Linked DNA regions of Saccharomyces cerevisiae S288C. Changing the gene in region 4 together with the main gene of any one other region gives a genetic interaction. Each region holds a gene or a part of one and is shown on either strand. Other genes may lie near its edges.

Region 1 (8,882 bases), on a different chromosome or scaffold from region 4:
TTTTCATTCTTTTTGGTTAACCCACGTCTAATTGCCAATACACTATCGACGATCACGGCATCTACACCTGCTTCAATTTGTATACTGGCATTTTCGGGATCATTGTTGTCCACACCGTAAGTGACACATACCAGCCCATTAGACTTAACCACTTGCACCAACCGTGGGGCCTTTAAAATGGGTGCTGCAGCAGATACAATCCCCAATAAATTCCACTTCTTAGCAAATCTTATACCGTTTTGTAACGATGAGGCTCTCAAATCGGCCATCTGTTCACTTCCACCTTCCGTCAGGAACAAGATCGGAATAACCGGTTGCTTTAACGAAAGCATGATGCAAATATCCGGATGAAATGACGAAAAAATGATGTCCCTACCATTCGCATTGTCAAAAACTACTTTTAACACGGTGTCAACCCAATGGTTCATTTCCATCATTATTTGCCCTAACTCTTCCTCTTCTGCCTCATCAAGCATGGGAAACTTACATTCTATGTTAAACCCAACGTTGGCAGGGATTTTCTTGAATAGTTCTTTCAAGGTAACAAATGATGAAGCTATTGAATGTCCTCTAGCGTTTCCCTTAAAATTGTTCTTTTTAAATGTTTTGGTTAGCCTCATTCGATTGTCAGACCAATGAGCATTGTTGGACTTCCCATTCGGGTCGTTGTCGTGTAAATCCCAAGCTCTCCTCAATGTACTAACGTCTGAATCATCTACCGAACGCCCTCTATATTTTTGTAGTGCTGTATCTGCTCCATTTACATGATGAGGTGAGTGACCTGCTCCACGTTGAATGTGCTCTTTATCGGCATTGTTCAAATCTAAAAACTGTTCCAGCGTCAATTCATGCATGGGGATATCGACACCTGTTTCAGCTACGAGAAAATCGTGATATACCACTGGTACGTTATCCTTCGTCAACTGAACATCAAACTCTACATACGATGCTCCCAATGAGGCTGCCATGATGAAAGACTCGACTGTGTTCTCTCCAATTTGTAATGATTTATTAGGATTATTTTTACCCAGGCCTCTATGTCCTATAACACGAGTGGACACTAAGGATTTCCAGTACGTTTCTGTTCTTTCTAAGGGCAGTTGTGGATGTTCAAATGGTGTGATAATAATATATTCAAATTTCAGCGTCCCAAGTATCTCCAGTGTATGATTAGCGATGATGGGGACCGTCACGCTACCATTTAATATACTTCTATTAACTCCCACTGAGCTGTACGACTTATTCAACATGGAAACACCCCTTGCCATTACGTAATTATTGTTATTTTTTTGACAATCTATTCTATTATGGGTCTCCAACGAGCGTGTTCCATATGTTGGCACAATATCAAAATATAATGTATGAGAATAATCAACTTTGAAAGGCACTTTGAAGTCTACTGCGTCCACATTATCATCTAATGGTAAATCTAAGATTACAGAAGATTTATCAATTGAATCATTGCATGAAATTACTAACGATAATGCACAATCTGTTTCCAACCCAATAACTTTTGCTAGTGCTTCCGAGCTTAATGAAATTGAAGGGCTTTTGTTTCTTGTGTCATTACTTCCCAATGTTATTAGTATAAGTGATTCATTATTATCCAGGAATCTGTGTCCATATGACTTTATTGGTCCGGCCAGTTTTCCCAAGGACCCTTTATTACCTCCGTTTCCATTTTCATTTCTCTCATTTAATTCTCCGGCACTAATTTCGTTTAGTGGTTCTTTCTCTTCGCTACCACTGTTCAACTGTGAATGGGGATGCGTGACCAGTTCGTCTCTGATTTGAACCATATCAGCAATGTGCAAATGACCGCGCAATACCGCGTGCTCCATCGGCGTCCACCCACCTTCATCTTCAATATCAAAGTTCGCGTTGTTGGCTATCAAGAGCTTTACAATGTCCGTAAACCCTTCTGCTGCTGCAACGAAGATAGCTGTCCAGCCAAAAAGTTTTTCTCTTATTTCAAGGTCGGCTCCATTGTACAACAAACACACAGCAGCTTCGAAAAAATTTAATCTACAAGCAAGATATAGCGGTGTTTCATGTAATTCGTTGTCTTGATAATTAATATCAAACCTTTTTGATGATAGGAGAACATGTAAAAGGGGATAGTTATTCCACTCAGTGGCCAAATGTAACAAACTTGAACTTTTTAATTTCACGTTCGGATCCAAAGATTGCAATAAGACTTCTGTTGTTTTGGGATGAGCACCCAACACACATAAATGTAAAGGTGTCAATGATTCGGCATCTCCGAACGCGGAAACGTCATCAATAGGGATTTCATTCCAGATATTCCATTCTTTCATTAACTTGATAATCAACTTCGTAACTTCAGATAAGCCATACTGGCAAGAATAATGCAAGGGCGTTCTCTTGTAATTATCATGCTGAAAAAGGCATGGTCTTAAATGAATTGGTAACTCCTCTAAAATATAAGAGAGTGTACAGGCCGAACTTTTTTCCTCCTCTGTAATGCTATCTGATTCTGCCGGGGCAGATAGGGTCGTATGCAGGGTTCTTAAATCTGTTACAATTTCTCCCTCACTATTAGTATATTTTGAGGGTTGTGACTTCTTTTTCCTACTTAAAATTTCCTGTTTTCTGATTAACTTCCCGATTGCAATTATGTGATGATGGAAAAAATTTCTTCTGTTAATATCTTCCGAGTCATTTAGAGACGGAATAACCTTTAAGATAGCATCAATACATGCCAGTGATTTAGACAGTGCTGCCTTGTTTAAAACACTTATCATAATTCTTGTTGGAATCAAAGACAATTCCGAATATAGGTTTGTTAGCTCTCTAATCAATCCTTTGCTATCATCTTCTTCTATAAAAACGCAAATAATCTTAAAGAATTCTGTATTATCATTAGCATTTGCGTTCGGCGAGGTACTCCTCATTACTCTCTCGTAAGAATTTATCCTGAACGTCACTTGTTCCCAGATAGTTTTTAGCAAACTCAAATCTTTGGTAATAAGAGAATCATTAGCAAATTGTAACGGCAAGATTCTAGTTTTCATAGTTGACATTTGCTGATTTGTGCCGACTTTTTTATCCAGTTTCTTTAAAATCTTACCAAAAGCTCTCTTATTTAGTTCAGCGTACCACTTTAAGTTTCTAAATTGTTTTCTTAACTCAGCTAAGATAGACTGAATTTCAATTAAGTCATCTTTATGGTAAGATAGACGGCTGGCTTGACTTGTTCCCTTTAAAAGCATATTCATCTCTCTCGTATCCTTTGTGAGTAAGGTTTGCGCTACTGCATCTTCTTTGTTGGCATCGACCACTAATGTTGATTTTATCTCATTGAATTGATTAGAAGAAAGCAATCTCTCAAATCTTTTCTTATATTCCGCATACTGGGAATTGTAAAATGTATCAACCTTCTCAATATCCCTGTCAACTGCAAAGAAAAACGACGCCAATAACTTTTGGATTTTTGGAGAGTCCAAATAATTTTGAGCACTATTAGATGAATCTCTCATTTTTGTTGGTGGCCTGCCTTCATCATAGCTATTCTTGTTATGTGCCCTATATATGTCTTCTTGAAGTCTTGTAATTTCTTTAATCATTTTCTTCAACGACTTGTAGCCAACATATTGACTTGACCACTCTGGAATGCGATGATTGGCAAAGGTTTTTCCGAACTTCATTGATTATATTGTTTGATTATATAAAGACCTTACAGTTTCAGTAGTTTGTCACCTTAGTTGGAGATAGTGGCTATTTTTGTGTAATTTGATGAGGGTTCCCTTCTTAGTTGGGTTTAAATTTTTTGCTACCGTTGCCTTATTGTTCAATGAAGCACTAATTGCAAAACTTAAACTCTTTAATAGTCTCACTTTGTAAGACAATAATTTATTTTTTACTTCTGTCAGCCAACGCTCTCTTTTTAATATAATGTGCACGTTCTAAAAATAATTCTCTTATTCAGTTGGCGCTATTAAGTGAATTAGAAACGTTTTGACGAAATTTACTATTAAAAGAACACTACGAGTCGATAATGACAGCACTGGTCTAAATTTCAGCTAGAGCAACAGCAAATTATTATTTGTCACTTAAATAAACTTGGTCGTTTTTTTGGAGAGCTAATATGTTGGGACAGCGTGTGTAACATTGCTCCACCTGCGAACACGTGGAAGTCGCAATTATAAAAGATGCATAAAAAGAAAGAATATTAATAATTAGGACACAATTGATCAGTCCTGACAAGATCGTATATTTGCTTCATCGAGAGATGCATTAATTGACGCACTTCTAAACCAACCCATATCTTGAGCATTGATAATGTGCTTGCATCTTTCAAGAGACTTTTGGCTTCCCGCTTAAACCCGAATTCACGTAATATAGGCAGCGAACTGTTTACGAAGAGAAGTTACAAGATGTGGGTATTTTTGTTAGTAAAAGAATTTCTTTAGTAGCAATAAAAAGCAAAAAAAAGCAATAGAAAAGGGTTTTAAAAAATTGATGTTATTCTTTAAAACCGTTAATCCATGCGTAAAATACGAACCTTTCAAATAAGTCCAAGTTTGGATCTAACTGGCGTCCAATACCCTCTAGAAGTAAAATAGCGACCACCACGGAAACAAAGTCGGACTCCATTCTAACATGGTGCGACCTTACCATACTAAGCATTTGATCGAGTAAATCGCCAATTGAGACGGTTCCCAATGTAAATGTTCTTTGTTTAACTTTATCCACTAGCTTTTCTACCTTAAACGCAAATACTTCCTTATCAATAGCTGTTTCTGGAGTTCTTGATCTCTCAATCATCAACTCACCAGCTCTATAACCATCAAATCGGGCCAATGCGTTGAATAGAGCTATGAAATTAATTCTGTTTTTTTCATTCAATTCTGTAATTATTCCTGTATCGATAAAACAAATTTGGGGAGTGTAATTAGTTAATACAGACTTCAGTTTTCCAACAAAGTCCTGATCTTGGTCCTCCTCTATCTTCTTCCTCAGGTCGTGCGTTATTCTGTACGATTCAAGTTCGGAGGATATAATGTTTGTGCCGTATTTGTTCGTCTTCACAAATCTGATTATAACATTGCCTGGATGCAAATCAGCATGAACAAAATCATCAAGAATTAGCATTTGTAGAAACGCGTCAACGAAGGGATCACTGACTTTTTTACAAAGTTCAACGTCGTTAATTTGCTTCTTCGTAGATAAAAACTTTTCCATGGAAAGACCATATACATGCTCTTCGAACATAACATCCCTATTTGACAAGGGGAGAAATGGTTTAGGAAATTTCACCTGAATAGAATTTTTAAAGTTCTCATTGAATCTTTCCAGGTTTAACGCCTCAATTCTTAGATCCAACTGAATATTCATTAATATGGAAAACTGATCGACTTCGCTGGGTAAAGACAGCCATTCCATAGTCGGAATCCAATTTATTGCGTCAGCACAGAATTTCATTATTTTCAAATCTCTCCGGATCTGAGATCTTACATTTGGATGCAAGATCTTGATGGCACACCAACGATTTCCATCCTTACCAATTTGTATATTGTCATATTTATCGATGTACTTTTGGGATAGTTCACCCACGTAAACTTGTGCGATGGACCCAACTCCAATTGGTGTTCGATTAAATTCATCAAAAGCATCTTCGATCTTGTCAACCTTTAATGCTTGAGAAAGTTTTTCCAGAGTAAAGCTTAGAGAGTGAGCTGTAACGTTACTATGCAATTTACCCAACTCATGACACAGTGCGTGAGAGAATATATCGGTTCTCGATCCTGCCCATTGTCCGAGTTTAATGAAACTCGGGCCAGCCAATTCCAATGCTTTACGCAGTAGTTGACACCAAATCAATGAACCTCGAGTTTCAGTTATATTGGTGTCCGTAATTTTGAGTTTATGACCAAACCATGATATGGGGTATAATAGGAGAAGAGGTAAAAAAATAGCTGAAATTTCTAAAAACCTTAAAATCGTGCATACAGGCTCAACAATATTATCATTAAAACCGAACCAAAAGATTCTTAGATATCTTATTAATTTATTTCGTGATTCAGTGATCTTAGCAGACCTGAAAGATTTAAGCTTTTCCTGCAATTCGTTTTCTGAGGAAACGTAGAGGCCCATTTCAAAAGTATCACCTTTGGGATCCGGTTTTAGAGAATCATTGTATATCAAACAATTTTGTTTTGGAAACGAATTTTGTGTCAAATAAAAAGCAATTGACGTAGGTATTATGAACTGTCTTATAGGTATTTTATGAAAATGCCGTGTGGACTTGCTATAGTATCGCCAAGAGTTTCTATAAGCGAACTTTAAAAATGACATTGCCCAGATGGTTCTGATGTTCTTTATCTCTATTCTGTGAGGGTTTGATATTGATGAGTAGGTAGAAGATATGGTATAAGGTATTTTCTATAACATCAAACATCTTTTCTTTTTCATCAAATGAGTGAAAAGGTATTATTGCCCCTCATATATTCGGGGTTATTTATTTTTCGTTGCTTGAAGTAAAGCCTTTAATACACACTTAGTATTTAAACACTTAAGATTTACGAATCACAGATTCTAAATTTGTATTTAATAAATTGATTCTAAGTACAGGAAGTATCAAGGGGGGGGGTTGACAGATAGAATCACACCTTGATTAATTTAGTTCCTGATGAACAAGCCAACTTGACCAATCAAACCCTTTCGCGGCACTTTTTCTCTTAGCTCTGCTTGATACATCGACTGGGAACTTCTTCTCTTTGAGCCAACTAACCTCAATCCCTTAAAGATTTTGTAAACCGCAGAAACACCTGGTTGTTTTCGCTTGTTGGCAAAGGTTAATAACACAGTAACTTTCAATCTTGTTCCGAAGTGCAGAGTGCAGTTCCCTGTGTGTTCAAGTGACATACGGCATTTGAATACACTACACTTATCGTCATGTCAAAACAAGTGTTATAGAAGCAGCGTTAATATAATATTAGTACCTGTACAGTTTTAAACTCAATTGAGTGCAAAGATCTGATGCATCCCATTTTAGTTTCTCATAAATTATTGCTTTGGTTCATAGTTCAATTGTAAGCATTATTAAAACAACTGCTTCTATTTAGACAATACAAGAACGCGATCTTTCCAGTAACTGCCTAATCTGAAATTATGTTTTTCAGTTGCGCCTGTGGCCTACACAACTTGCATAATAAGCAGTTAAAAATAACTCCTAATCTTACTAATCTTGTCGAACTAGACTAGCTGTAATGATCTGTCATATATAAGTTAATATTCAACATCGACTGTAATTGTCAATTCAATCTTGACAGCAACGATTGAAGTCATCGCCTCGCCGTAATTGAAAAAAAAATGTAAGATGAATAACAGCTAAGAAAGATAATAATTTTTATGAAAGAAGCATCTGATAGAGAAGAAGCACCAAAAATGGTGGAAAAAAACTATAGTACAGGTTTTAGGAAAGCCCACGGAGAGAAGGATCAATCAGTGACTAAGCCAATCTCGTTAGATGGTAGAACAGGTGAAGTAATTGTTAGAAAATCCACCGGGAAAACTAAAATACGTAAAGGTCAAACGGAAGAAGAGTATACACAGCAATTGCAGCACTACTTCGAAGTAGAACAAGGCCCTGTGCGGACAAAGGTAGGATGGATGGATGAGGTAGATCCCTTGGTTGAGATCCGGGAAGGCAAGTACGATATCTCCAATAAGCATCAGCGACAGGTGCTTAGTGGTTTCTGCCATCGTTTATTTTACCAATGTAAGTACAAGGAGTGTCTGGATCTCAGCACCTATTTTCTGGGGCTCTTTGAACCGTTCAACGTGAAGAATAAAATGAAGAGGGAGCTTGAAGAGTTGGAATATATGATCGAGCGATGTCGTGGGCATGTATTATAAGCCCGAATCAGATACTCAAATTTGAAAAAAGATATCTTTCTCCTCCGACATGGCCGAACTCATTTACATAAATAGCATAAATTAAACAGAATAATAATACGTAAATTACAACAGTCAGAGGGTGCATGAAACCGTCATTAGATAGAGACGTGATCAAAAGTAGAAAATGATAAGAAATCAGGGATGGTCATTACTTTACAGAATTTATCCGGTGCGGAGGTTCACAAGATACTCCAGAGTAGATATGACTTTTGAAGGAAACACTCAAGATATCTCTACTTCTGTCGAAGAAAGAATGACCACTGTTTTTGGAGGACGCTTAAAGGGTGAACCACCAAGATCCACAAGTAGAGTGCTTAGCGGCGGAACGAAGAAAATAGCAGGTGTCCAAGTGCCTGCAAAACCACAAGAACCCGATAACTGTTGCATGTCAGGTTGCGTTAACTGTGTCTGGGAGATATATAGCGAGGATTTAAGAGACTGGAAACATAGAAGGAAAGAGGCTGCGGAAAAGATCGCAGGAACTAAGGAGAAGTGGCCTAAAGACTGGAATCCACCTTTGGGATTGTTACATATGGAAAATGTCCCTGTTGAGTTACGTGAAAAGAAGCTGGAAACCGATAGCAAAAAAGCAGAACAACCTCATGATTTATCTGCTATCAGAAGTTTGTTCCCTAAAAGAAAAGGGCCTCTGCCCAAGAGTGTATTGGCAGCCAAGAGGAAAAATATTGCTTTGAGACACAATTACGAACAGAAAGATGGAGGAGACCAATCAGTCAGTGAATCAGATGCTGATGAAGGCTGGGAAGATATTCCTGTCTACGTTAAAGCCTTTGCAGAGTTTGAATCAAAGAAAAGATTACAAAAAATTCGCCGACAGGAAGAAATAAAAAAGAGGACAGCTTTGGTTTGAAGCAAATATATATTATTGAAAAGCCTATGTACAATATTTGCGGTCTTCTTTGATCTTGGTAGACTTTATGGATGGAGAATAATAAACA
Region 2 (7,726 bases), on a different chromosome or scaffold from region 4:
ATCCGATAGTTTGGGAAATGTTACTTCACAGACGAATGATAGCGTCAGCGTGCATTCTGTGAACGCACACATAAACTCGCCATCTGTGGAGAAGGAATTAACAGATGAAGAGATATTGCAGGAAGCTTCTAGAGCTCCAGCCGGTTCTATGCCATCCATCGATTTCCCCCGTTCTTTATTTTTGAAGGGTTTCTTTTCTGTTCAGACAACTTCATCGAAGCCTTTGCCAATTGTTAGATACAAGATTATGTTTGTTCTGAGGAAAATGAATATAGAGTTCAAGGAGGTTAAGGGTGGTTTTGTTTGTATGCAAAGGTTCTCTTCCAATAATGTGGCAGCGAAGAGAGAAGGGACTCCAAGATCGATCATGCCACTTTCGCACCACGAATCCATTAGACGTCAAGGCTCTAATAAATACTCACCTTCTTCTCCTTTGACAACTAATTCCATTCACCAGAGAAAAACATCTATTACCGAAACCTATGGAGATGATAAGCATTCGGGAACATCTTTGGAGAACATCCACCAACAAGGTGACGGTAGCGAAGGCATGACTACAACAGAAAAAGAGCCCATCAAATTCGAAATTCATATCGTCAAGGTTCGTATTGTTGGTTTAGCCGGTGTGCATTTTAAGAAAATTTCTGGGAACACTTGGTTGTATAAAGAGCTGGCTTCTAGTATATTAAAAGAACTAAAGTTGTAAGTAACACGTTCCCTGAGAAACCACAGCTTACATTTTTGATATTCGAAAACAAGAATATCCGTTCGATAGAAATTTATATATATATATAGATTCTTTTTATTCTCTTTTGGAAAGAAGAAATAGAATGGACCTAAGCAGACACTCAGCAGTTAATATTTTCGTCCCTTAATTGGTATTATTTATAAATAAATGGCACGTACTTTATGTGTAAAGCAGTTCATCATCGATTGATGGAGAGAATTTGTATACGTAGAGCGATCATTGCACCGTTTACCAGGACAGGATTCATATGGATGTAATAGGACTATTACTTCACTGAATCAATACAACTCGTAACGGTCATATAACTGCGAGTTTGTACGCAGTTATTCTGTTTGTGAAGACAGATTATACTTCGCCGTTGAAAGATTTCTTTACTTCACCATCATTGCCTCCGGATTCTCTTAACTTCTAAATAAAATGAAGATACTGGTAATTCTTGTCCGCAAAAATCTACGCTACACTCTGGAAAGAAACGAGATTTTCTACCGTCTGGTTTATAATGAATATATTTACATGACCAGCTTTGCAATCATATGATATTTTCGCCCATGTATACGAAATTAACTAAAAATACATCCAACGGGAGGCCATTTTCATCACTAATAGCTTGTATGAGCTCAGGAATCATCCAGTATGTGCTGTAGTGCTTCATTTGCGCTTCTAATGGACTTGATATCGTTCATTACACAAGTTAAAAGAATATGCTTGGGAATTCTTTTCCCGTTTTCCTTCGGTGGGGTCCTTACTGATTTAATGAGCCTTTCAAAGGCTTCTTTGGTGTTTATTCTTCGTATCTTCTCCATTTGAACGTGTTTCCATTTCCGTACCTTCACAGGGTCGTCCTCGATATTGGCTGGAATATCAGAGTCTGGGATTCGTATCTCAGGTACTGAAAACGGTGGCGGGTTGTAGTGGTCATTGCCGATAGGCTGATGAGGTCCTTCCCTCGTGGTGAACTCAGTTGGCACATCTGCTGTGTTTGTGGGTAACTCCCCTGTGTTACTGTGTGGATGTGTTTCAGGATATCTTTGATTTAATTCGGTATACCTATGCTGCTTTTTTGGTGATCTTATATGTAGATGTGATTCGGAGTTCATGGAAGCGTTGGAAGACATCATATCCTGTGATATTAGATTGTCTAAAAACTGTTCAATGGCATTCGATTCATTCGTGCTCAACAACCCCGAACTGGAAGGAGACAACTTGAGACCAAGCGCTTGATCAAAACCCATGCTTGGTTGATGAGGGTTGTGATTTAGATAGTGTGCATGAGTATGCAAAGGAGCATGATGAGTTTGGTTATCGGCAGGTATAGTTTCTACGTGAGAGGGTTGCACGGTTGCTACGTTAGGAATTATGCCGAGCTCGTGTGTTAACAGAGGAGGGGAAGTTGCACTAAACGTGTTTTCATGTATGTGCGCAGACATTTGGTCGTCGAAGTTACTGCTGAGCATTTGGTAAGCAGTTTCAAAGTCTATATCGTTATCCAGATCTAGGATACCCAGTAATTCGTTCCCAGTTGCTTGTTGCATTTTCTCCTTTGCTGTTCCATGTATTTATTTATTGCACGTCAACGAGATGGAACCGAACCAATTTCGAATTGCTTATGACGCCAAATACTGATTACAATAAGATATGATGAGATGAGCCTTTAATCACTGAAAAAAATTCACATGTGTGTTGTACTTGGACAGGTGTCAACGCCCTGCCGATGACGGAGGGAGATAGAAAACCGGCGAATTTTTTACCTCCTGCTGAAAAAAGGTTAGGTTGGTTCCATCTGCCGCACTATGGAGGGTGATTCAACGGAAAAGGCGCAGGAAGTGCAGTAGTGACCGGCAAGCAGCATGTTGAAAGACATTGTTGGGAAATCCTGTTTGAGTCCTGGTGTGTCTTCATTCTCCTACCATTTGTAGCTGGCGTAGATTTGGTTTGAGTGTGGTTGGTTAATTCATATTAAGCGTTGAGATTATAATAATAGAAATAATGGAAGAGGCACTCGATCCATATTATCAAGGATTCAAAGTAACTCAGATCTGCAGTAAAGGAGAGATGCGACTGAGAACAAATTCCTTTGCAATGGCATCGGCAATGGCACAATATGGAACTTTTTCTTGTACTGTTGAAAAACAGCACGCTGCAGTTGCATCAGGGTTGTTTTAAGTTGTTGTAGTAATCTCGCGACCTGAGACATCCTTGAAGCGGTGCCTGCGAAGTCTTAGTGAAGAGTTTAAGATTAGAAGTATATAGCATCGAAGGGATGGCCCAACTGAAGCAGGTTCCTCTGCTTGTTTCTCAGCTTATATAAAGGATGGATTGCGTATGTATACATGTGCATTTGTGCGTACGTCATTTTTCGATAGAGTCAGCTTAAGTACATGCGTATAGGTATGGAAGAGCTTAGAAGGGCGCTGGCGCTGCTAAATGGTCAAGGATATGAGTTTATGGTGTTCATAAAGGAAAAAGACCATTTAATAAGTGAGTCAATTCCAAAAAACTTGTTCTCAGAGAGTTTTATATCATCTTCAATTGAAAAAAACCCTCCACTCACGTTCGATCCATTGGTAAATAGGAAAAGAATAACTGTTTATGAAGAAAATATCCAACCAGCGATCATGCTACCCTTAGATCAACCCCTACTAATACAGAATTATCTGTATACGGCTTTTAAATTATTAAGACAGGTCCCATGCAAGGCGATTGCTAAGTTGTGGATAAAAATTATTGAGCCAAGGAAGAAAACCAGGTTTCCATACATTAAAGGCAATGCTGGAAGGCCGGAATGGTGGCCAAAAGATGTAGAACATAAAGAGCCGGACCACCTCCAGAAAGCGGATCGACTGAAATTGATGTGCACGATAATTATGAATGTTCTACCGCAATCTCCCTTCAGCCTTGAGATTTTGGACGAGCTTACAGGAGTGACCGCCGCAATGACCATTTTTAAGAAAGAAACTGTGAAGAAAGTAATCATGAAAAATGTTTTCGAAATTGCGAAATGCTTGTGCAACAAAGATTTCAAGCAGAAGACCATATCACTTGATGATTTAAATGACCTAGCCCAAAAACAGAAAAAATCATACCATAGTCGTCGATTTGATGTAAATAAAATGGTTAAGGTAGAAAAAGATTTGTTACAACAGTCAAGTGGAAGCGATTCTTCACCCTCGATGATCCTTCCTTCAAAAGAAAGTGACACAGAGTATTTCCCCAGGGAATATCCGAAAGACCCTGTATCGGAGGATTATTCGAATAGCATATCTCGATTAGAAAATTTAGTGGAATTTGATCCGTTATTCCTCACTAAATTGGATGAATTAACTAGTAGCGATGATTGTAAAGATTTTATTTGAGAAAAATTTCAAAGCAAAGAAAAGAGGTGTGAGGAGCGCAAAAGCAAAAAGGGGGATAGCATACATTAACACATTTTTTGGCTCTTTGCTACTTGATTTGGTTGCTATCAAGGCGATTTAGTTTCGTCTGATAAGAAGGACACTATAGATTGGTTGAATGATTCTGGGTTATCTAAAAAAAGATTGTGACCGGAAGAAGGTATTTCTAAATAACTTGCTCCTTCTAGACAGTTCTTTAAATTGTTCAACTCTTTGACCATGAACATACCGGCTTTTTTATTCATCCAATCATATTGCCCATATACTATCAATAATTTCTTAACATTTAAATATTGCAGAGAATCCATCAAGGGGTCCTTTGCTAGGATACATCTTGAAAATAACGCTTTGAAAATATCTGTCGTAACCTCCGGTATACCTCCCTTACCGTAAAACAGTTCAAATATGTACTCTTTGTATGCCAACGATGGGACTCGGCTATATGCCGCCATTATGTAATTCCAACATAACTTAGCTCCTAATGGTCCCATCATTCTCAAAATGTGAAATTGTTGTTCAAATAAGTATTTTGGAATCATATTTCTTTTGGAGTAAAACTTGGAATTTGGATTTTTAAAATCGATAGTATAAAGAGTGTTGGAGTGGAAATTATTATTTACAGACCAGATATTCCTTTCCACTCCTAGTGGGGATACCAAGCAAAGTTTGTTTACCGAGTTTGGATATTTAACAGCATATTTAAAAGATAAATATCCGCCAAAAGAATGCCCCACAACATTCATTTTGCCCAATTTGTTATCAATGCGCCATTGCTCGATTCTGTCGAGATAGAAATCTTCGTACATTTGAATCACAAATTTATTGTGATTTGCATTTATTGTATATGGAACCTTAAATTTATTTTCTCCAATAAATTTGATATCTAACGGCAGAGGTGTTGTTGTATTGATCTCTAAAGACGGTACTGAAGACAATCCGCTCGCTGGCATGTCAATTGAGTATAAATTTCGGATGTGCTTGGACAGACCTGGATAATTTCTGAAAAAAGACATTGAAGATGCGGCATAGCCATGTATCAGCAATGTTGGTGTTCGAACAGTACTTGTGTTTTCATTTTGGAAATGCCATTGATTTATTTCGTTGAATAACTTATCATTCTTTTTAATACCTTCAACGTGTACCTCTTCCATAATACGTCTCTGTAATTCCTCCAGCCGCATATAAGTTTTGTGTGGGTTATTCAAATGGCTTGACCATAGCTTGAATCCAGATTTTTTGACAGCATTTTCCTCCTTGGGTCTAAGAATCCTTTCCAAAATTTTTCTCTGGAGACTCTTTTCACGACGTTTAACTTCCAGTAGGCTTCTATTACTGTGGAACGCTCTCTTCCACATGTAACATTTATATACATTCATTATCTGCCTCCTTAAACTTTCAGGGTCCATCAAGTACCTCTTTATTAAAAGCATTTTTCATTCGCTCATCCTTAAACTGGAAAGGCATAAGGAAACTGTCAGAATATATAAATAGAGGTGTAAAACATGTGAAGCTCTGTGGAGTTCTAAGCTGGAATCGAAACAGTTGTCTCAATTTTAGTAATGTCCAAGGGCTTTCCAGGAGGTCAGTATATTCAAAGCCAAAATAATTAATGTTTTGGTCTGAATTTTTATTTTTCAAAAATGAGGTGAAAACCTCCAACGAAACTTTTTAATTAAAACCATCCGATACAGAATTTTAAATCATCTAAAGCATTTATTCGGCATTTTATCCTTGAATAACGTACTATGCAACTCATATAAATACTACAATATACTTTCTCTTTAGGAAATTCGTAGCTATCAACAAAGGTAGTGTCATTGTATATATACTTCCGCCTTCCTAAAAAAAACTTCATTATGCCTCCAAAGAAGATATCTTTGTCTCCTAACATGAAAAGAACAAACAATGTCATGGAATCTACTATTTGTGCTGCTAATAGGATTCGTAGTTTTGATATTACTTTCGCCCGTCTTCAAGTCAACATGGCCATTTTCGACTTTCTATCGTAATGTGTTTCAGCCCTTCCTAGTGGATGACCAAAAATATCGTTGGAAGTTGCATTTAGTACCTCTTTTCTACACCTCTATTTACCTGTACCTAGTATATACATACCACATGAGAGTGGAGTCTACGATTAAGAATGAGCTATTCCTTTTAGAACGAATACTGATCGTGCCTATAATTATACTACCGCCGGTAGCATTAGGAATTCTAGCCATGGTAAGCAGAGCTGAGGATTCAAAGGATCATAAATCAGGCTCGACAGAGGAATATCCATATGATTACCTATTGTATTATCCTGCCATAAAGTGTTCGACATGCCGGATCGTCAAGCCTGCTAGATCCAAACATTGTAGCATTTGCAACCGATGCGTTCTCGTCGCCGACCATCATTGCATCTGGATAAATAACTGCATCGGAAAGGGAAACTACCTTCAATTCTACCTTTTCCTAATTTCCAACATATTCTCGATGTGCTACGCCTTTCTAAGGCTGTGGTACATTTCTTTAAATAGCACAAGTACGCTCCCTAGAGCTGTTCTGACTCTTACCATATTATGTGGATGCTTCACTATCATCTGCGCTATTTTCACGTATCTTCAATTGGCCATTGTAAAGGAGGGAATGACTACAAATGAGCAAGATAAATGGTATACCATTCAAGAGTATATGAGAGAAGGAAAACTGGTGAGATCATTGGATGATGATTGCCCATCTTGGTTTTTCAAATGCACAGAACAAAAAGATGACGCTGCTGAACCACTCCAAGATCAACATGTTACGTTTTATAGCACGAATGCCTACGACCATAAGCACTACAACCTTACACACTACATCACGATTAAAGACGCGTCCGAAATTCCCAATATATATGACAAAGGTACCTTCCTGGCCAATCTCACAGATTTAATATAGTAAATTGTCATGCATATGACTCATCCCGAACATGAAATTTTTTTTCACTCGGTTTTTTCTCACCGCCATAGATTCTAACCGCAAATGTCGAACAAATTCATTATACAAGCGGTTTATTAATATAGAAGGTAGGACGCCGACTCGTAACCATTAGTAACAGATCACAGCTATACTCGGTCGTTCAAGTTTATATAATCTCCTAGTTGAGAAATCCCTACGTAAGATAATTGTATATTACGATGGTGCAGTTAGCCAAAGTCCCAATTCTAGGAAATGATATTATCCACGTTGGGTATAACATTCATGACCATTTGGTTGAAACCATAATTAAACATTGTCCTTCTTCGACATACGTTATTTGCAATGATACGAACTTGAGTAAAGTTCCATACTACCAGCAATTAGTCCTGGAATTCAAGGCTTCTTTGCCAGAAGGCTCTCGTTTACTTACTTATGTTGTTAAACCAGGTGAGACAAGTAAAAGTAGAGAAACCAAAGCGCAGCTAGAAGATTATCTTTTAGTGGAAGGATGTACTCGTGATACGGTTATGGTAGCGATCGGTGGTGGTGTTATTGGTGACATGATTGGGTTCGTTGCATCTACATTTATGAGAGGTGTTCGTGTTGTCCAAGTACCAACATCCTTATTGGCAATGGTCGATTCCTCCAT
Region 3 (7,809 bases), on a different chromosome or scaffold from region 4:
TGTACTATTACCCGACAGGTTTCTGCGGCATGTTCTGTGGAACGACGGTACGGGCGGTGACTGGGTGCCAAACAGTGCGGCGTTCCCGTGCGCAAGGTGGTCTGCGGTAGGAAAAAGAAACAAAACGCGCCTACGTCGTGCAAGGGGACAGGATTTTGTCAGTTACATAATAAGGAGCAATTTCGAATCAATTGAAATTTGGAACAAATGGGCGATGCATTCGTTAAAAGGCGATTTTGTATCAAATAACGTCACTATCAGCCATTGTCACTTGCCACTGTCGCCTGCCACCGCTATTGCCATTATCATTTGCTTTCGCATCGTCACCGATTTAAAGCTCTCTAGGCTAACGTACGCATTTTACCTCCCAGGCCCTATCTCTTTTCTACCTGTCATCCCTATATAACGTCTTGTACATTCTAGTGGCTCCGTTAACAAGGTTTGACAAATATTACAATCAAAGAAGGATAGCGCTAGTCAATCTAATCATTAAGTTCGCTTATAAAGAGAAGGAAAGCTAGATTTTTTTTCTACTTCAATTACATATCGGTGCTTCTCTCTGGTGGTTTTCTGTTTTTCTAATATTGATCGATTTTACGGTGAGTTAAACTACTTCCTTTTATCGCAATATCATATTTAGAGCGAGAAAGCAAGAAGAATAAAGCTAGGAGAAAAAAGCGCCACGATACATTCATACTAAGTTTATAATATACCGGTCGTCTTTTGGCTTTCTGATACCATATTATATCCTCGAAACACTTTCTCTGGATTCACCTACTATTAATCACCTCAAGATTTCACTTGTAAGGCGTTTTCAAATTTATTGTTATTAAAAGACATATTCATATTCAGTATTTTTATTTTTCTTCGAAACAGGAAAAGCTTATCTGAGTATGGATTTTACAACAATGACTATGGCAAGCAATATGGCTACTAGTACTACTACGACGGCTACATCGGCACATGCATCTATAAATTCGTCATCAAACTTTAATATTGATATTGATTCGAACCAGAATACTCCTTCCATTTTGATAAATAACAATTCGGATTCTTCTAATGGAAAAAACACAGATTTTAACGGCGTCAATAATATTCACCAAAAAAATATCATGAATAATACAAATAATGTTCATTTGTACTCTCCAAATATAATGGACCAAACGCTACTAACTCCACAGGACATTGCCAAGTTACGGAGAGAATCAATAGCCCATTCTCAAGGGATGGGTGGTGTTTCATGGGGATCCATTAGTGTTGGTTCTTGGTTAAGAGATGAAATTATTAGCCGTAGAAATAGTATTGTACCTGCATCAGCAAACGGTGCTGCCTCCGCTGCCGCTTCTGCAACCACTACTGCCACTAATACTTTGCAGATTCAACAACCAACTAAGAGACCCTCTGTTAGTAATCCGCCTTACCATAGAGGGTATTCTATTTCTCCTCAGATAGCCTACACTGCTTATCTGCCAAATCTAGAAAAGCAATATTGTAAAGATTATTCATGCTGTGGTCTTTCCTTACCAGGTTTGCATGATTTGCTGAGACATTACGAAGAAGCTCATATATCCACGTCTCCTAACACTACCAATATGTCACAAATACCGATGAACTCTGCTGGTAACACTAGTTCATCAGTTCGTATGACAAATAATACCTCTTCTGCCAACTATAACCTGCAGAATAACATGGCCGCTAATACAAAAAATGCAGGTCATAAGACTAATACTATGCAGGCTCATAGCAGCAATGCAACTAATAACACCTCCATTAATAATATGCATGCCAATCTTCAGAGCAACATGGATTCCAACTCCACAATACGACAATCTCAGCATCCTCACCATCAGCAGAATATAATACAACAACAGTTGCAATCGAATTCTGTAAATCATACATCAGGGGCTGTACCCACACCGAGTGTAATGGGTTCAGCAACTGCGTCGTCCACAACTGCAAATCCAAATGTGATATCTATAACGGGTGCCCCCAACTCGGGCTTATCTATGGCTAATCACTCTCAACAACTACATCTGAATGGTAATCTAGTCGATGCCGTTTCAACGAATGATGTGTTTTTAAGAACGAGCAATTCTCCATCAAGACACGTTCCGCACAATAAACAAATTAACAGTAACAATAATAGTGGTATCAATATCAATAATAATACCTCACACAATTCTAATATTAACATGGGTAGTAAAAACGCCATGGTGAATCGTCCACATACTTTTAATAACTATTCCTTGAACAAAACGTCCAGGAATCCTATTCAACATCAATCAAGAAAAATTGATCCTCATCAAACCGATTTATCACCTCTGGTACTTGTCCAAGATATAGATTTAAGTTTTATGGATGATGATATTTTGGGCCCTAGTAACCACAATTCCATGAACTCTGTCGTAAATCCAACTACAGGTTCTCACAACTACAATACTTTTCATTCTTCCGTACACGCAAAATCTTCTCAAAACATGGTCGAGGATCAAGACATTGATGACATTGATGATGACGATGATGTTGATGATGACGATGACGATGACGATGACGATGACACAGAAAATGGCTCCAGTTCCAATGGAAAATCAGTTCATAACAACAATTACAAGATGCCTCAGCAAGCTTATATAGACGATCCTGCGAGAAGGCTCTATGTAATGGATCATGAGGAACAAAAACCCTTTAAGTGTCCAGTTATTGGTTGTGAAAAGACTTATAAAAACCAAAACGGTTTGAAGTACCATAGGTTGCACGGACATCAGAATCAAAAATTACATGAAAACCCTGACGGTACATTTAGCGTAATAGATCCAGATTCGACAGATTCTTTTGGTGATGGAATGGGCTCTGCAAAGGATAAACCATACCGTTGTGAAGTTTGTGGTAAGAGATATAAGAACTTGAACGGTTTAAAATATCACAGGGGCCACTCCACTCACTAAGATATAATTGTTTCTTTACTGAATTGATTTAGTATGCTATTTAGATACTAATTCTACCGTTACCGACTCATGCATCGAGCGGCCGCTCTTTCTCTTGTTGTTGGGCGCAATTTATGTGATCATCTTTGAACGAAAATGCATGATAAAGCTGTGCTCTTCGACTGTTACCATTAATTTCAAAAAATAAAAAGCATATCTATTATTGAAAAATGAACTTATAATAGAATAACATTTTCTTGTTTTGTCATCATTTCCTCTAAATACTCCGTCATGAAAACGATTTGCGCTCTGTCTGGTCTCTCCTTTTAGTATTATTGTTGTGTGTTTTTTACTATTCATTTTTTACTACTGTGTTTTTACTATATATATTTTGGCTTTACTTACTTCCTTCTGTTCTGATGTATTAAAAACTATTTTTATTCTAAGAAAAGAAACTTTAATTCTTCTTATTCATGCTCTAAATCTTAAATAAAAGGTTCCGTTTTTTATCTGCAATTCTGTGTATTTGTAAGTGAATTACCATGCACGTTGTCGGATCGTTTTTCTAGGCAGAAACTATCTTATTGAACCATTAAAAGATTACTTAAATATTACAATTAATCTTACGAAGCATATTAATTAGACTGGAATTACAGCGCAACTATCACAGGTTAATAATTGGTTGAGAAAATATTATAGTTTTGTTAGTAATGTTGAACTTTTATTTTATACACTTATGAAAGTAAATTAATTCAATATCAATAATAATATACTATAAGTAACTTAAAAAGCAACCTTCCTCCCAAACCTACAATCCAATCACGCTGATAAGTATTATCTAGAAAGTTGACAACACCAAGCCATATGGTCAAGAAACATTTATTGAGAGTTATTTTGTAAATAAGACTTTTCGTCATCCATATAAAGCAACCTAATTGTTCATCTAATACTAGAGTCGCTCTTTTGAAAGTTAAGTATAACTACCTCATCATTAGTTGCTACTATGTGTATAATTTGAAAATCTCAACGTAAGGTTATTAAAAATATAAATGCGCGTAAGACAGAAAAATAGAGACAGCTTACGGCAAATTATCAAAATGTGAATCCAAGGTTTCAAGAAAATAAGATAAAGTGAATAGGAAGGATGAAAATCAATGTATCCCGTCCATTACAGTTTTTACAATGGAGTTCATATATTGTTGTTGCATTTCTGATACAATTGCTAATCATTCTTCCTTTATCGATCTTAATATATCACGATTTTTACCTAAGACTATTACCTGCCGATTCCTCTAACGTAGTCCCCCTTAATACGTTCAACATTTTAAATGGCGTACAATTTGGTACAAAATTCTTCCAATCTATTAAAAGCATTCCGGTAGGTACAGATCTGCCGCAAACAATAGACAATGGCTTATCACAGTTAATCCCCATGCGTGACAACATGGAATACAAGCTCGATCTAAACCTACAGCTTTATTGCCAGAGCAAAACTGACCATTTAAATTTAGACAATTTGTTAATTGATGTTTACAGAGGTCCAGGCCCGCTATTGGGTGCTCCTGGAGGAAGTAACAGCAAAGATGAAAAAATCTTTCACACTTCTAGACCTATTGTCTGCCTCGCACTGACGGATTCCATGTCGCCTCAGGAGATCGAACAACTAGGCCCATCACGTCTAGACGTTTACGATGAAGAATGGCTAAATACAATAAGAATAGAGGACAAAATATCGTTAGAGTCTTCATATGAAACAATCTCGGTGTTCTTGAAAACGGAGATTGCCCAAAGAAATCTAATAATACATCCAGAAAGTGGGATTAAGTTTAGGATGAATTTTGAGCAGGGATTAAGAAACTTGATGCTTCGAAAAAGATTTTTATCTTATATTATTGGCATTTCAATTTTCCATTGCATAATATGTGTACTTTTTTTTATCACAGGTTGCACTGCATTCATTTTTGTTAGAAAGGGTCAGGAAAAATCCAAGAAACATAGCTGATAGAATTGTACTTCTCGCTATATAATTTTAAAACCTAGCTGTTATTTTCTAAGTAAGTAGGCTCTTCCAGCATTCTGCTTCTTCGCCCTGAATAAAAAAAAGATGATCAGCGAAAAAACTCAAAATGAAAATAAGAGATGGATTCTTCAAAGTTATAATTCATATGCAGAATAAAGATTCTAAAGAAAATGCACACAATGCATATTCCATCCGGTGATGTTCTGATACCGAAGCCGAAGCTTATTACTGAAGAAACAGATCCACTGCATATAATAAAGACGAGGCAAAAGACACATGGTCGGCCCGTGACCATTGCAGGCCCAATGGTTCGGTATTCCAAGTTACCATTCCGTCAGTTGTGCCGAGAATATAACGTTGATATAGTTTACTCCCCCATGATTTTGGCAAGAGAATATGTCCGTAATGAGCATGCAAGAATCTCAGACCTTTCTACAAATAATGAGGACACCCCGCTAATCGTCCAAGTAGGTGTAAATAACGTGGCTGATTTACTAAAATTTGTGGAAATGGTTGCCCCATACTGTGATGGTATTGGTATTAACTGTGGTTGTCCTATAAAGGAACAAATCCGAGAGGGCATAGGTTGCGCTCTGATATACAATTCAGATTTGTTATGCAGTATGGTCCATGCTGTGAAAGATAAGTATGGCGACAAACTAAGAATTGAAACGAAAATAAGAATACATGAGGCATTGGACGAGACGGTGGAGTTATGTAGAAAGCTATGTGATGCTGGGGTAGATTGGATTACGATTCATGGCCGAACACGTAGAACTAGGTCATCGCAGCCGGCTAACCTGGATGCGATAAAATATATCATCGAGAACATCAGCGACAAAAATGTGCCTGTAATAGCGAATGGGGATTGTTTTAAGTTATCCGATTTGGAAAGAATCACCAAATACACTGGTGCACATGGTGTCATGGCTGTGCGTGGGTTGTTAAGCAATCCAGCGTTATTTGCTGGATATACTACCTGCCCTTGGGGCTGCATTGAGAAGTTTTGTTATTGGGCTCTAGAGTTTGGTGGCTTGCCTTTTCAATTGGCTCAGCACCATCTGTACTGTATGCTTGAAAATATGGAGTTGAAGAAATCTCTGTTAAAGAAAATGATGAATCTTAAAAATTACATTAGTCTGATCGACTGGTTTAATAAAACCTTTGAGTTCAAGCGTTACGGCGAGGATGGATTTGGCATGGGCGTTGAAATTCCTTATAAAGCTAATAGCTGTGTGCAGAGGAGCGCCTCAGTGGTTGAGAGACAAGAATGAATAAATTTTGAATTACAAAAATCTAATAAACTGTGGTACTGAAATTGTATATATTTTCCTATCATTCAAGAGCGTATACTCGTACCCCGAAAGCAGCTCTGTTTGTGTAATAATATAACCTAAAAGAAATAAAATGCTTATAAGATGGACATTATTTTTTTTTTTTTACAATTTAAGCATCTTCTTCAACGACAACGGTTTGTAGACCCTTAGCAGAGGCAACCAAAACTGGTTCGACGTAGGAAAACAATGGGTTCTTGGCATCTTCTTCTTCGTTTCTCTTTCTGGAGATTCTCAATCTCAATCTGTATTCAACACCCTTAACACCTCTTTTCCAGATAGCTTGGTTCAATTCTGGGGCTAGACGGACATCTTCAGTACCCATGTGTAATTTGGCGAATTTCTTGATTTCCTTCACAGCTCTTGGAGCTCTCTTTTTGAAACTGACACCATGTAGCTATATTAATATCAATTCAAGATTGGTCTGTTAGTAAAAAAAAAGTTGTTATAAGAAGGTGGAACTAAAGCATCACGCCAAAAACATCGGCCCAAGCGCCATTATAGTGTAAACGTGAGGTACGGATATCGATCGCAGAACACAGAGAAATGCAGTACCGAAGAAGAACCTTCCAGTCCTTGCATCACGCATTCCATATAATAACCTCTAATATTCCGAATTAAAACCTGGGGTCAATCATTGGAAAATGAAATTTCACCCGTATAGATTTCGCTTGGTATTTCACCACAATATCGCTTGTTGGCTTTCAATAATTTCCCACGTAAAGACAACGCTAATTTCGACATACTCTTTTGTGCAAGTTGATGGTGTATTCACGAGTGACAACGTCTTTTAAACCGGCCATTTTCAAGTACTTTGGATTATCTGCTCGTGCAATTGAAATATACTAAGACCCAAGACTATGTAAAACTAAGGAACCTATCAACAATGAGACTGGTCAAATAATAGAGTAAACATGTACATGAAGCACTACCATCAGAAAGAGCTTACAAGGTTACGAAACAACGTCAGTGCCCTCTGTCGCATTACCCTCGGTTTCGCGCCCTTCCAGTTGGCATTTGAAGTGCCAATCCAATTGTGAGCACATCCAACTAGCGTGCCCTTGCAATCCCAGAGGACACCATACAACTTCCAGCCTAGTAGTGAACTTACCAGGCGAGGAGCGCGGGCGCCAGAGGGCAGCTCATCTGCGTTCCGGCTCTAACGAGAAGGGCGGAAATGGCACCATCACCTGAAAAAGAACGTAATCTAGGCTGAGCCGCGCCTTTAAGTTTTTGTCGCATCTGGCTGCGCTTCATTTAAACGGCACTCCTAAAAAATTGTATGAGGTGATTTTTTTTGTGTACAGATGTACGGATGTACGGATGTACGGATGTATACTATGTAATAATGCACGGATGTAGAGAAACAGAAACGAGGATAATAAAATCGGTTTTTGTATCATCTGGCGGCGATATGGCGCAAGGCTTTAAGTAAACGTCCTATATGGTACTAACGGGGTTTTATTCCGAATCAAAAGAAAAAGAGATACGAAGTCTCTCTTAGTAAAAAAGTCTTTATGGAAGATTATCG
Region 4 (7,841 bases):
ATTACCTCCGCCAAACGCGTCGCCAATTTCACACTTAAGGGCCCAGACTAAGATTGTCTTCAAACAAAATGTAGCTGAAGCGTGTGGGTTAGATATGAATAAAAGAATACTACAATACATGCCGGAACCACCAAAATGCTCTTCCTTGAGACAAAAAAGCTATATCATGAAGAAAAGAACACATTATAGTTATCAGCAGGAACAAAAAATTCCTGATTTAATTAAATTAAGGAAAATCAATACCAATCCGGAAAGAATTCTTGATGCACCTGGTTTCCAAGACGACTTTTATTTAAACTTGTTAAGTTGGTCCAAAAAAAATGTCTTAGCTATAGCACTAGACACTGCATTATATCTGTGGAATGCCACCACTGGGGATGTTTCCCTGTTAACGGATTTCGAAAACACCACAATATGCAGCGTTACGTGGTCTGATGATGATTGTCATATCTCTATCGGTAAAGAGGATGGGAACACCGAAATTTGGGACGTTGAGACCATGTCATTAATTAGAACTATGAGATCAGGCTTAGGTGTCCGTATCGGTTCATTGTCTTGGTTAGATACTTTGATAGCTACAGGCAGTCGTAGTGGAGAAATTCAAATCAATGATGTCAGGATCAAACAGCATATTGTATCTACATGGGCAGAGCACACAGGCGAAGTCTGCGGTTTGAGCTATAAAAGTGACGGATTGCAACTTGCATCTGGTGGTAATGATAACACTGTAATGATTTGGGATACCAGAACGTCCTTGCCTCAATTTTCCAAGAAGACGCATACTGCTGCTGTAAAAGCACTAAGCTGGTGTCCATATTCGCCAAATATTCTAGCCTCTGGAGGCGGACAAACAGATAAACACATCCATTTTTGGAACAGTATCACAGGTGCACGAGTTGGCTCAATCAATACCGGATCCCAGGTGAGCTCTTTACATTGGGGCCAAAGTCATACGTCAACCAATGGTGGTATGATGAATAAAGAGATTGTTGCCACAGGAGGTAATCCAGAGAATGCAATCTCTGTTTATAATTATGAAACAAAATTCAAAGTTGCAGAAGTAGTTCATGCTCATGAAGCAAGAATATGCTGTTCTCAATTGTCCCCTGACGGAACCACATTGGCCACAGTGGGAGGAGATGAAAACTTAAAATTTTATAAGATATTTGATCCAAGATGTACAGGAAGATCGAGAGAAGACGGATTGATGGATGGTATGCTAGGACTTATTGGCAAGGAAGGTTGTCGAACAAATGATAAGGAGAATCGTTCCAAAAATTCGAGTGAGATTCATACAAGGAGGCCCTCTAGTACCAGCCAATATTTGATCAGGTGATAAAATAAAAAAAATAAAAGTTCATGTCAAGGCATATAATGAAATTTCCATACACGCATACATAATGTATAAACATAAATGTATTCAAGAAGCTTAAGAAATAAAAGTAATGAACCTTGAGAATACATCAAGATATAACTCATCACATGTTAAAGAACCCACACACCACACGCGCGAGAACTGGGAGGGAGAGAAATTTAGCAAATAACAAAATTTAGGCCTTGGAAGAAACCATAGCAATGCAATAATCGTTATTAACATAATATCTACATTGAGAACTTCTTGGGCTAGTGGTTTTGCTGCAAACTGGAAAATTGTATCAATCTTTTAACGTTAGCTAAACATCTTCTGCTGTGTTAGCATTAGGAGGAAGCGAAAAGGAAAATACATAATGAAACCGACACAGGATTCACAAGAAAAGGTTTCTATTGAACAGCAGTTAGCTGTAGAATCGATAAGGAAGTTTTTGAACTCGAAAACATCTTATGACGTGTTGCCTGTTTCTTACCGTTTAATTGTCTTGGACACCTCGTTGTTAGTGAAGAAATCACTGAATGTTCTTTTGCAAAATAGCATTGTCTCTGCGCCATTATGGGACTCCAAGACTTCCAGGTTCGCTGGACTTCTAACTACTACAGATTTTATTAATGTCATCCAGTATTACTTCTCCAATCCAGATAAGTTCGAATTAGTAGACAAATTACAGTTAGATGGATTAAAAGATATAGAGCGTGCTCTCGGTGTTGATCAACTAGATACAGCTTCAATTCATCCTTCTAGACCCTTATTTGAGGCGTGTCTTAAGATGTTAGAATCAAGAAGTGGTAGAATACCACTGATCGATCAAGATGAAGAGACACATAGAGAAATTGTCGTTAGTGTTCTTACGCAATATAGAATTCTGAAGTTCGTTGCTTTAAATTGCAGGGAAACACATTTTCTAAAGATTCCAATTGGGGACTTGAACATTATTACGCAAGATAACATGAAAAGCTGTCAAATGACCACTCCGGTCATAGACGTCATTCAGATGCTTACCCAAGGTCGGGTTTCTTCCGTCCCTATTATTGACGAAAACGGCTACTTAATCAACGTATATGAAGCATACGATGTCCTAGGCTTGATAAAAGGAGGCATCTACAACGACCTGTCATTGAGCGTCGGAGAAGCCCTTATGAGGAGAAGTGATGATTTTGAGGGTGTTTATACATGCACTAAGAATGATAAATTATCTACTATTATGGATAACATCAGAAAAGCAAGGGTGCATAGATTCTTTGTAGTTGATGACGTCGGACGGTTGGTTGGTGTCTTGACGTTAAGCGATATTCTCAAATATATCCTTCTAGGTAGCAACTGAAACGAGCCGATGAGATTTTTGTGTACATACTATAAATAAATGCAACTAATAAAGTCATGATTAATCAGTCATGCATACTTCATCTGACCAATATATTTTCATCTTGCTTATTTTGGGTATAATTCGGCGGAAATTCGGTTATAAAGCGAAGTGAAAAATCGATTAGTAATGATACTGATGCGATCTCTGGGAGGGGGGAATGCTGCATATAAGGGTGAAGGAAGATAATGCAAAGCCTTTTGTAGTATTGTCTGTTGATACCAAAATAAATTAGTTCATCAAAAAGGTACAGGCAGCTAAAGAAAAGCTGTAAATTTAACGCCGTAGAAGGTATTTTTCGTGAGATCTATCTCAAGGCATCATTTTTTTTATTTTCGCACCAAGATAGGAAGAAAAAGAGTCACAGTATAGAGGACTAACCGTTAAAGATTCTAAATCGGTACTGTAAATACTTTGAAATGCCTCAATCTACTCCAAGTCAAGAAGTACAGCGTGTACCATGGGATAATAAACCTGCTTTGAAGCAGATAACACTCCGAGCAACCATAGCAGGTATCGCTATAGGGTCTCTGGTGCTAACATCAAATTTTCAATTTGGCCTGCAAACCGGTTGGGTTTCCATGATGTCCCTGCCATCGGCATTGTTAGCTTGTGCTTTCTTTAAAAATATCTGGCCATTAATATTTCCGAACGACAGGCCTTTCAGTGACGTTGAAAATGTATACGTACAAAGTATGGCAGTAGCTGTCGGAACAGGCCCATTAGCCTTTGGGTTTGTCGGCGTCATACCTGCCATCGAGAAGTTCCTTACTAACGACGAAAGTGGTGGATTAAGGGAACAAGGACAGTCCTTCACTTTTAGAGAATTGTTAATATGGTCCACAGCCCTAGCATTCTTCGGTATTTTTTTTGCAGTTCCTCTAAGAAAGCAAGTAATTGTTAGAGAGAAACTTCCCTTCCCCAGTGGTAGCGCCACGGCCACTTTAATTTCAGTGCTAAATGGAACTGAGATTTTACAAGAGGTTTCTAAGTCAGAGTTATTGGAAATGAGGCAGAGGAGATTGAATGAATGCCCTGAAGTGCTACAACCCAACAGAGATCCAGAGGAGGCGGATTATTTAATGAACTCTTCTCATAGCGAACTTGGTGATTATACGGCAACTAGCCAAGATGGAAGTTCTATCCTTTCTACTGGCTCTGAGAACTACAGAGCGAATATTATTATTTTATTGAAAACTTTTGTTGTTTCTTCGCTTTACACCATGGTGTCATATTTTGTACCGGTAATACGGTCTATTCCAGTCTTCGGAAAATACCTCTCGAACAATTATCTCTGGAATTTTCAGCCGTCGCCTGCGTATATAGGCCAAGGGATAATAATGGGTCTTCCAACAGTATCGTATATGCTTATCGGGTGCTTCTTAGGCTGGGGTGTGTTAGCACCATTGGCGAGATACAAAAGATGGGTACCACCAGATGCTGATGTCCACGACTGGGAGGAGGGAGTGCAAGGATGGATTCTTTGGTCGTCGCTTTCAATAATGGTTGCTGACAGTGTAGTCGCTTTTATTGTTGTGACAGTGAAGTCCATTGTGAAATTTATTCTTATAGATGACAAAGCTGCTTTACTGAACAACATAATCGATGATACATTTCAATCTATGTTACTGGAGGAGGAACGCGCCATTAATAGCAGCAGAAGAAATACATATGTTGATGGAAGGCAGGACACCGTAAGATTAGTGAGTAGAGATAACGAAATAGAAGTAGATTCGAAGCATTTGGTTCGCTATACCACCGTTATCAGTGGATGTCTAGTCTCCTCGATAATATGCATTGTTTCCATAATATATTTGTTTGGGATACAAGTAATTCCCCTATATGCTATTATCACTGCTTTGATACTTGCGTTGTTTCTATCTATTCTCGGTATTCGAGCACTTGGAGAGACCGATCTGAATCCTGTGAGCGGCATTGGTAAGATCTCTCAATTGATTTTTGCCTTTATCATACCAAGGGATAGACCTGGATCAGTGTTAATGAACGTGGTATCGGGAGGTATTGCAGAAGCCTCTGCCCAACAGGCGGGCGATTTAATGCAGGATTTGAAAACGGGGCACCTCCTCGGCGCCTCCCCAAGAGCTCAGTTCTGTGCCCAATTGATAGGGGCCTGTTGGTCAATTATTTTGTCTAGCTTCATGTATTTGTGCTACAATAAAGTTTATTCAATTCCGAGTGAGCAATTCAGGATACCGACAGCAGTAGTGTGGATAGATTGTGCAAGACTAGTAACTGGTAAAGGGCTCCCTGATAAGGCCTTGGAGTGCTCCATGATTCTCGGAGTCATATTTGCCGTTTTATCATTAATCAGAAACACTTATAGAGATTACGGATACGGGTGGATATTATATATTCCGTCTGGTGTAGCAGTCGGTGTTGGTATATTTAATTCTCCCAGTTTTACAATTGCAAGATTCATCGGCGGGTGGGCTTCGCATTTTTGGTTGAAGAATCATAGGGGTGACTTAAATGCGAAAACAAAAATGATTGTATTCAGTTCGGGGTTGGTCTTAGGTGAAGGTATCTTTAGCGTAATAAACATGCTCTTCATCTGCTTAAATGTCCCTCACTATTAGGTATATAATATTTTACTAATAAAGAATTTACAAAGTTTACAAATTTTAAATTATTTACTCATCACATAATTCGATGTCTTAGATTTCCCTGTATATATATTTCTAGGTGACAAAAATCCTAGGCAAAATGTTATATTATACGCGACCTTGAAATATCGGCTATCTTGGTGTACAACATGGTCCATTTAAGAAAAATAAAAAAAAGTGATGGGCACTGTTAAAACAGGCAGAAGCCTCATTCATAACTGCTGAAGGGTTAAGATCGTATAGGTAGGAACGATCTGACCTCTCATAATGGAAACATGGGAAGTCATAGCATCGGTAAAAGAAGCAACAAAAGGCCTTGACTTGAGCTTAGATCATCCACTTATTATTAAATCCGAGGACGTGCCCAGTAACATTCTCCAATTACTGCAACAGAAGAATCGACGTCAATTGAAACACATCTGCATGAAATCAAGAAAAGAGTATTTTCTACTAGAGGAATATGGGCCAGGATTTTGGGTTAAGTGGCCGTACAATTATTTCAATGGTTACAGCTTACCAGAAAGGCGTACGGAAGTTGTAACGACAGTTGAAAGAGAAAGAGCTAAGCGTGAAACGTTAAAAACATGGGACGAATTGAAATTTAAAGAGCTTCTTCATTTATGGTCAGAAGAACCCAAGGGCTCGTGTAAGCTTGAGAAGGACAAAGACCTTAAACTGGATATGAATCCCCCAGATATGAAAGGCGAATCAAAAATTAATGACTACTATTCAGACCCTAAAGAGTACATAGAAAGTAAGTATTATGATGCTCTTTTTTCCATACATACGCCTCTCGCATATTTCGTCAAGTCAAATTTAGTAAGGCTCAAAAATACCTGCCGAACCAAGTACGGAAGTGACAGTTACAAAATAGCCTATCAAGCCATGCTGCAAAAATTTCTTCTCTCAATTGTACAATTCAAAGATAGACATGATAACAGGCTTTTATTAGAGCCCTTTTCTAGTCCCATAGCAGATGAAAAAAGGAAGAACTGTCTCACAAAATTTGTTATCCAAGATGAAAACAAAAACAGCTCAACCATTGCTGATTTATGTGTTGTATTAAAATCCCGCGAAATAAAGCTACAAATATTATTGCTATTAGAGATAATAGGATTGAACGATTTAGATTGGAATTTTAGAGATTTTGAGAAAAAGTATAAATTAAAATTGAAGAAAAGATCACTTAATTTGACAAAAAAGGGATTAGTTCGTCGAAGATCGAAGAAAAAAACCAGCGAAAAAGACAAAGGAATCGAGAGAATAACAACATCTTTGGATTATTGTGAACAGTTAGACTTGTACTTAGATAGAGCATGCATCTTGGACATTCTACTATCAAGTGAAACGCCCAACCCAGATGCCATAGAAGCATCAAATGGAACAATACAAGAGCATAAAAAAAATATCCTAGACAAAAGCAAAGAAGCCTCATTGGTTGGGTTCATAAATTATGTTCTTATTCCATATTTCAACAAAAAGGTACCACACGCCGTTGAATTTATAATTCAAAAGCTCAAGGGACCAAGCATGAGACCAAAGAGAGCCCTGAAAAAGGTCAACGATAGCACAAATGTATCGTCACCTAATACTGTAGAAACGTATAACAGGTTATCCACGAGTCAACGTGCCTCTCGCTCTTCAATCATTAATTCCGTCCCATCTTCACCCGCATTGAGAAGGGTGGACGCTAATTTGTTCAGCAGAAAATCTATAGCTTCGCCCACCCCTGAACTTTTGAATTCTAGAACGAACTCTAACTTGAATGAATTTCTCGAAAGTGAAACTAGAAGCTTAAAGCGCCCTTCACAATTGGGAAGGACGAAGTCTGATCTAACGATGAATCATTTACAAAAACGGCAGTTTTCTGTCTCTGACTTAAGCACAACAAGAGTACCGAATTCATCAACTATCACACTCAAAACGCCTTTCTCGCACTCAACTATTAATGCATACAAAACTATGAATAACTCTTTTCGCAGAGTTGGGAAACGTAAAGATATCAATGAAACGATACGCCTACATGAACGTGTAGACTCTGAGGAAAACGTACAAGTTCAAGCCACTCCTGCTGTGAAAAAAAGAACTGTGACACCTAATAAAAAGGCGCAACTTCAAAGCATCATTGAATCGCCGCTAAATTTCAAGGATGATGATACGCATGAAGGCAGAAAAAATACCTCCAATATTACCTCTACTCCCACTAATAAGCCCCCGGAAAATAGCTCAAAAAGGAGAGTAAGAAGACGTTTATTTGCTCCAGAATCCACATAGAATAAGAAACTGCGAGACCACCTTCGCTGGCAAGTAGTTGACCCAACTCCATCTTTGTAGCTTTTCTTGGACGAAAAGGGAATAAAATAAAACTAAGCTACAACAATTTCGCACTTCGGGGGCCTTTGAGTATACAATTAAATAACTCATCATGCATATATATATATATACATACAATGGCGTATGTAAAAACTGTTATATAACATTA

What was found.
Region 1: mutations in SNF4 (region 4) and CQD1 together harm fitness more than expected from each alone (negative genetic interaction), as found in Saccharomyces cerevisiae (2 studies listed by BioGRID).
Region 2: mutations in SNF4 (region 4) and YDR124W together harm fitness more than expected from each alone (negative genetic interaction), as found in Saccharomyces cerevisiae (2 studies listed by BioGRID).
Region 3: mutations in SNF4 (region 4) and SEI1 together harm fitness more than expected from each alone (negative genetic interaction), as found in Saccharomyces cerevisiae (3 studies listed by BioGRID).

What each region holds. Positions count from the first base shown.
Region 1 is NC_001148.4:341,072-349,953, forward strand, and holds CQD1 (Cqd1p), read right to left. Parts: upstream 6,319-8,882; coding exon 4,526-6,318; intron 4,374-4,525; coding exon 4,193-4,373; downstream 1-4,192. Other genes in the region: GDE1 (glycerophosphocholine phosphodiesterase), read right to left, coding at 1-3,668; YPL108W (uncharacterized protein), read left to right, coding at 7,375-7,881; DPC25 (Dpc25p), read left to right, coding at 8,048-8,794.
Region 2 is NC_001136.10:697,189-704,914, forward strand, and holds YDR124W (uncharacterized protein), read left to right. Parts: upstream 1-3,126; coding exon 3,127-4,101; downstream 4,102-7,726. Other genes in the region: serine/threonine protein kinase KIN1, read left to right, coding at 1-706; INO2 (Ino2p), read right to left, coding at 1,366-2,280; ECM18 (alpha/beta hydrolase family protein), read right to left, coding at 4,209-5,570; palmitoyltransferase SWF1, read left to right, coding at 6,046-7,056; ARO1 (pentafunctional protein ARO1p), read left to right, coding at 7,296-7,726.
Region 3 is NC_001144.5:924,675-932,483, forward strand, and holds SEI1 (seipin), read left to right. Parts: upstream 1-4,068; coding exon 4,069-4,926; downstream 4,927-7,809. Other genes in the region: zinc-coordinating transcription factor SFP1, read left to right, coding at 894-2,945; DUS4 (tRNA dihydrouridine synthase), read left to right, coding at 5,115-6,218; 60S ribosomal protein eL31 RPL31B, read right to left, coding at 6,391-6,675, 7,025-7,081; YLR406C-A (uncharacterized protein), read right to left, coding at 7,532-7,681. UniProt on the Saccharomyces cerevisiae protein: Involved in lipid metabolism and lipid droplet (LD) morphology, number, and size. Facilitates initiation of LD formation, and ensures that vectorial budding of LDs from the ER is directed towards the cytoplasm.
Region 4 is NC_001139.9:290,306-298,146, forward strand, and holds SNF4 (AMP-activated serine/threonine-protein kinase regulatory subunit SNF4), read left to right. Parts: upstream 1-1,727; coding exon 1,728-2,696; downstream 2,697-7,841. Other genes in the region: ubiquitin-protein transferase activating protein CDC20, read left to right, coding at 1-1,336; YGL114W (uncharacterized protein), read left to right, coding at 3,155-5,332; SLD3 (Sld3p), read left to right, coding at 5,627-7,633. UniProt on the Saccharomyces cerevisiae protein: Adenine nucleotides-binding subunit gamma of AMP-activated protein kinase (AMPK), an energy sensor protein kinase that plays a key role in regulating cellular energy metabolism.